2 linked regions of the Canis lupus familiaris genome follow. The protein of the gene in region 1 binds, or shares a complex with, the protein of each later gene. Links are inferred from orthologs where the notes say so. Each region holds a gene or a part of one and is shown on either strand. Other genes may lie near its edges.

Evidence for each region. Proteins that work in one complex are often made in the same cells at the same time.
Region 2: the proteins of PEAK3 (region 1) and YWHAB are in contact, whole or in part, in a cryo-EM structure (PDB 8DP5), measured with the Homo sapiens proteins. The link is inferred for Canis lupus familiaris from reciprocal best matches to the Homo sapiens genes PEAK3 and YWHAB. Residues at the interface, in NP_940934.1 of Homo sapiens: Arg66, Thr67, Gln68, Ser69, Leu70, Pro71, Thr72, Arg73; in NP_003395.1 of Homo sapiens: Val48, Lys51, Asn52, Arg58, Lys122, Arg129, Tyr130, Gly171, Leu174, Asn175, Val178, Glu182, Ile219, Leu222, Asn226, Leu229, Trp230.

The regions. Positions count from the first base shown.
Region 1 is NC_049241.1:57,237,193-57,239,357, reverse strand, and holds the end of PEAK3 (protein PEAK3), read right to left. Parts: intron 1,808-2,165; coding exon 1,025-1,807; 3' UTR 521-1,024; downstream 1-520.
Region 2 is NC_049245.1:32,932,545-32,936,735, reverse strand, and holds the start of YWHAB (14-3-3 protein beta/alpha), read right to left. Parts: upstream 2,862-4,191; 5' UTR 2,670-2,861; intron 1-2,669. UniProt on the Homo sapiens protein: Adapter protein implicated in the regulation of a large spectrum of both general and specialized signaling pathways. Binds to a large number of partners, usually by recognition of a phosphoserine or phosphothreonine motif.

The DNA of each region.
Region 1 (2,165 bases):
CAAAGGGCTTTGGAGTTGGGGTATTGAAGGATGACTAGGAGTGTGAAGCCCACGAGGAGAGGGGAGGGTGCTCCTCCGCAGGTCAGGAGGCTCCGAGGGTGGGCAGTGTGGCCGGCGGGGTTGGCCGGGGCTTGGGGAGCCTGGGGAGGAGCCCACTGTATCCTGGGTACTAAGGAGCCAGGGGGGATGTTTGAGCAGCCCAGGAACCTGTCATACCTGCGGGCTAACCTGACGGGGGCGGGGAAGTGAGGGCCGTGACTGGAGGCCCCAGGCAGGCGCAGTGGCACCCCCCAGGGCTCGTGTGTTCCTCCGCGGTGTAAACGAGGCCCTGTTCTGTCCCTCTGGTTCCCCCGTGCGTCGTCCTTGCCGGTTTATGCCGCCATCCCGTGTGCGCGTCGACACCCCCCTGGCTTCCGCCCTCGGGAACCCACAGCCTGGAGGGGAGGTGGTCAGGTGGCGGCCCCCCAGGTGCTGACAGGTGCTGGGGGCGGGGGCGGGCGACAGGAGGCGGAGCCACGGGGCCCAGGAGCGGCAAGTTTATTTGCTTGGACAGAAGAGCCACGCGAAGGCCTGGCGGCTGCACAGAACCAAGCTTCACAGAAGGGCAGCGAGGAGGCCGCGGAGGGTGGAGCGCGGGGAAGCGAGGCCACGCTCGGGCGTCTCAGGTCCTAGGAGCGTCCCCTACCCCCGGGACCCCAAGCAGGTCCTGACAAGGATGCGCTCAGAATGACCGGCACCTGCAGCACAAGGGGTGCTCCGGGGCCAGACACGGAGGCCGCGTCCACCTTCTCGGGAGGACGGTGCACACGGGAGTCCAGCGCGGCCAGCGCAGCCTCACGCCTGCTGGAAGGTCCTGGCATCGGAAAGCCTCGGGACACGCCGGGCCCGCTCTCCTGGGGAGGCCTTGGGCCTAAGTCCCCGGTGTAGAAGCGGGAGTGGGGGCGCTGGAGAGGAGGTGCCCTCATGCCGGCCCCGTCTGGAAGAGGCTGTCCGCTCGCTTGGGGAGGGCCTGTCCGTCGGGGTGTCAGTCCCACAGCAGCGCCAGGGCGCGGCCCACAGAGGCCTCGGTGGCCTCAGCCAGGTACTCACAGCACAGCCAGTCCTCCAGGCCCGGCGCCTCCCCGGCCGAGGCCCGCTCCGCCAGGTGCAGCACGAGCAGCGCGCGGCGCACCTGCAGCCACGGCCCCAGCGGGGCTCCCTGGCGGTGCAGCTCGGGCCCGGGCCCCCAGAGCAGCGCCTGCAGCGCACCCCGCGCCTGGGCGGCCGAGGGCCGGGAGCGGCCCAGCCGCGCCGCCAGAGCCTCCAGGCCCGCAGCCAAGGGGGAGGCGCAGGGCTCCGCGGGGCCGAGTAGGGCGCGGAGCAGGCGGCCCAGCTGCAGCGCGTGGGCGCCCGGGGGGCCCGGGGGCCGAGGGCGGACGCGGCCAAAGTCGGCCAGCAGCAGGCGCGGGGGCCCGGCGGCCGCACAGCCTCGGGGCGCCACCAGCAGCAGGTTCTCAGGCCGCAGCTCGGCCAGGGCGGCGCCCCGCGCCTCCAGGTGCTCCAGGGCTGACGTCAGCTGCAGCAGCAGCACGGCCACCACCCAGGGGAACTCCTCGGGCCGCTGCCGCCTGCCCGCCTCCTCCAGCCATTGCGTCACCGTGAGCTCGGGCACCTCGGCCGCCAGCACCACCGGGCCTCTCCAGGGCACGTCGGGCAGCGCGCCCTCGGGCACCGGGCCGCACAGGCCCTGCAGGTTGAAGTGCGGGGCGAGCGAGGCCTGCAGCTCCAGGCCCCAGGGGTGGGGCTCCTCCGCTCCGGGCTTGGACACCTGAGGGGCAAAGGGGGGGCCATCAGGGCCTGACCACGGGGAGCCCGCCCAGCGCCACCCGCCCCCGCGGCGCTTCGGGAGCCCAGTGGCCGCGTGGCCTCCAGGAGTTAGATGTTCATTCGGATGCCTGTCGCCGTGTCGCCGGCGCGATTTCAAGGAAAGCCGCGCTGAGGAGCATGGTGTTCGGGGGTCAAAATGCTGCCTGCCAGAGGCGCCGGGGACAGGGCAGCTCAGGTGCCACGGCCGGCCTGTCCAGTAGGATTACGACCCAGGCCACCGTGTAATTAAACATTTCCAGTAGCCACATGTGGAAATTGATAAGAAGTGTGAACATGATTTTCTTTTTTTTTTTTTTAAG
Region 2 (4,191 bases), on another chromosome or scaffold:
TGTGTGTGTACTTCTGAGAAAATTATTTAACTCTTGTGCCTCAGTTTCCTCATCTGTAAAATGGGGCTAACAGTACTTACCTATCATTGGTTCTTATGAAGACTTCATTAATATGCATAAAGAGCTTAGAACAAAGTGTGGCACAGAGCAGGCAATGTGGTAACTGTTATTATTATTGACTAATTGCCCTGATGCTACCTCATCAGCTGGCGAATAAATCAAATGGATGGATTCTATGTGTCTATGCTATACAGCATATAGATATATGCTATATCCAGTCTCTGTATATGTGTATTCTTGGATATGGTCAAATAACATTTACTAAACACCTACTGTATCCCAAATGCTTATTTTAATCATTGCGCTTGTCATAACAACACAACAAAGACTATTACCATTTGCATTGTACAGGCTTAGAAACCCAGAAGATGCTGTACACAAAATAAAGTTCTATAAGAACATCAATTTTTGAAAGCAAAATGTATACAAAGCAGGGATGGGTCTCATCAGAATGCAGCTGGAGGAAAAAAGAAAGCCATTAATAGTGAATTCTGATTAAAAAAAAAAAACAGCTTATACTTAACAGTTTATATTATAGTTTGTAAAAAAGCTTCAAGACAACTCTGAGACAGAGAAACTAAGAACCAGAGATTAAGTAATATGCTGAAGACCCCACAGCTAGAAAACGCTGCAGGCTAGACCTGAATCAAATTTATCTGACTCCAGGTCCAGTGCTCTGTCTCTGTATCCACAGCCAAATGGGCAAAAGGCACTTTTCGCAGTAGCTCAAATCTCTGGAGACTCTGCCACCCGGAACAAGCATCATGGGAATTTGCTCAGCCTGGTTTTATGGAGGCTGCCTCCCTGATCTATAGAGCTCCAATTCTAAAATGGCTTCAACATAACACAAGCACTGCATGATGGGAAATGTACAGAAGATTATAGGGTAGGAGCCATACTCCAGGGGCTTACAGTCCAGAAATATTTGCTCCTGATGAATGAGGATATTCAATCTAAAAATTAGGTGTGTGGTCTAGGCCAAATTACCTTATTTCTCATAAAGACTTCATCTGTAATATGGGTGAATGGTTTCTTATCTCAGTGAAAAACGAGGTTAGGAAAATCATTCAGCAGTTGCTACTGGATTACTACTCTTCCATTTGGAAGACCACACCCAAAATTCTGTAGGGTCTAATAAAAACTGACAGGTTTTACCCTCACCATCTTGCCTGCTGCTAAGGAAACAGACCCAAGAAAAATGAGGGCTCAGACAACTGAGATATTCCTGAGAAATGGGGTGTGATAAGGCAGTCGAGAAGAAAATCACTAGGAATCAAGCATTATTTATGCATATACATTTCCAAAGAGAAAATGCAAAAAGCTGAGTAGCCATGTGTCCAGTTCTATAAACTGCCTGTGTGTGTGGCTTTATATGAACAACTATGACACAGTGAGAAATGCAGACAATTTTCATATTTTTTGAAAGTGCTTCATCTTTCTGGATCCTGTGGCCGCCTGATTTTGTATGTTCGTAACATCCTCTCGCCAAATTCCATCACCCACAGAGAGTAGGTAAAATCAGAGCCTGATGCTGTCTAGTCTTACCAAAGAGAAAAGGAGTGAAGGCAAGGACAAGAGCCATGCGTTTTTATAGAAAGGTTGGCAAATTGTCTTACCAATACTGCCACCTTTGAAAACCCCATTACATGCAGTTCTCCATTTGCAATAGACAAAGATGTACTCAATCCTCTGAAGAAAAGGGGCCCAAACCAATCCTACCCCTTCCCTACCACCAGGGAGGCCACCAGGCAAATTTCAATCCTTAAAAAACAAAAACAAAAAAAAAAAAACGTGCTAACACACAGTATGGGGGAATTTGGGGTGAGGACACAAAAGACTTTGGCATTAAATGACGGTAAATACCGTGGGAAAACACTCCGATTTTCAGCTTCTGATTATTATTATTATTATTTTTCCCCCCCTGGGGATCAGACCTGACTCAGTAAGCGGTTCTAACAAATGCATTTTCTTGATGCAGACCTCAACCCTGTGTGCTTCTCAGGGGATCTCAGGTCCTGCTAGATTTCCAAACCAGCGAACGATGATGAAATGGCTTTACTGCAAAGTGGGAGGGGGGTTTTCCCTCTGCTCTCTCCCAAGGTTAAACCCCTTGCCCAGCCAGGGGGTAGTCAACAGAGGCCCTGGAGCTCGAAAACCAGCCCATATTTAGTCAATTTTCAATTTCTGGAAACCAGAAAGCAAGGAGCGGAGGTGACAGGGCTTAAAGGGTCGGCTTTCGCCGCCCAAGGAGCAGGGAGGGGTCGCGCGGGCATCGAAGGCAGGTGGGGAGAGGGAGGGCCGGGGGTCCGCGGCTCGAGGTCCCTTCCGGCCTCGCACTGAGCCGCACCCCGCCCGCAGGGCAGGGCCGCAGGCGGCGAGGGCCGCCCGGGCCTTTCCCAGAGCCAAGGGCCCGGCCCCGGAAACAGGGAGGGGCCGCGGCCAGGCCGGGCCCGCGCCGCAGGCGGCCGCGCGGGGCCGAGGAAGCGGCGCGCCGCCCCCTCCCAGGGCCCACCCGCGGGGTCGCCCGCGTCGCTGCGGCGGGCGCCGCCCCGGGGGGAGCTTCGGCTTGGGCCCCCAGGGGCCCCGGGCGGACCCCGCGCCGCACTCACCGCGGGAGGGCGGCAGGAGGCAAAGACGCTTGCGAGCGAAGCTCCGAGCGCGGGGACGGCTTCCTTCCCAAGCCCACTCCTCAGGCAGCGGCGGCGGCGGCGGCTGCACAGGCGGCGGCGGCGGCGGCGGCGGCGGCAGCAGCTACCCCGGCTCCGGAATCGGCGGCGGCGGTGGCGGCAGCTCCACTTCCGCTCCGGTCACCACTTCCGCTCCGACCCGCGCTCCGCCCCGCCCCTGCGCCGGCTCCCCATTGGACGAGCCGGGCACGGGGTTGCCCCGGCCGCCCGAGAGGGGCGCTGACGGAGGGAGGAGGAAGGGGCGCGGAGACCCGGACGCGGCGGACTGGAGCGAGGAGGGAGCGGGCGGACGGGGGCGGAAATGGAGGCGGCGGGCGGAAAGAGGCAGTGGGAGACGAGAGGGCGGAGCTGGGGTGCGGGGTGCGGGGGTGCTGGGAACCCGGCGGGGGAACCCGAGCCGACGCCGGGGTCATCGCCTCCCTCCCTCCTCCAAAAGGAATCGCCGCCGGGTCGCAGGCGGAGGTCAGTCCCCTGTGGCTGAGCGCTCCGGGAATGCGGACCTGGGGAAGGACAGAAATGGTTCAGCCTTCAACCTTCGCTTAACCGTCCCATCAGCCCTTGGAAGGCGCTCGTCGTGTTCTCCTTTTGTGGACAGGAGAGGCCGCGTGAAGCGCCAGGCATCTGCAGGCCTCGACCGGCCGAGTCTTTTGTGTTCATTGAAGCCGGTGCCCCTGATCCCTTCGTGGAGGCGCGCCCTTCCCAAGGCTCCCAGGGGAAGCTTCAGGAAAGGGAACCGGCCTCTACCGCGCGCGCACACACACCCCATTTAAACTCAGTCCTCCAGAGTGCCCCTCACCTCCTCTCCCTCCCTCTCATTCATTCTCTCAACAAGTATTTATGGAGCAGGCCTTGTGCTTAGTGCTGGAGACGCAGCGAGCACGAGACAGCCCGGCCCTGCCGTCTTGGGGGTTTACAGTCCGGTGGGAGAAAGAACAAAGTCAAACAGGCCTTTGTCATCTGCTTTGCCCCTCCTTAGCTGAATGATAGACTTCTAACTCATCACCCTAACCCTCAGCCCTGCCCCCATCCAACTGCCAAAGCATCTTGAAAGAATGCCGGTCTTATCTTCCCATCCTTTTGGTGATTACTGAGACCTGGAAGACCAGTGATAAGCTCCTGGAGTGTGACAGTCTGAGGTCCTCCAGCAGCTGCCCCTAACCTTCCACCTTTCCCTATTTTCCCTCCATCATGAAATCCTATTTCAGTTGGATGATGCCTTACCCTCCCCGATATGCCAGCTCCTATATTTCTAAACGATTTGTGTTCCTTGCCAACATTTTTACAAAAGATTTCTGTTCGCACAGAAATCTGCATCCGGGCCTTGACTGGCAAAACGGTGTCCACATTTCTGTGCGGTGACAACTGGCTGAAGCCATGGAGTGGCCGCCCACTCTAGGTCAGGCATAGACTTTTCAAAGCTCCAGGGTCCCCTCCTGACCTGAGT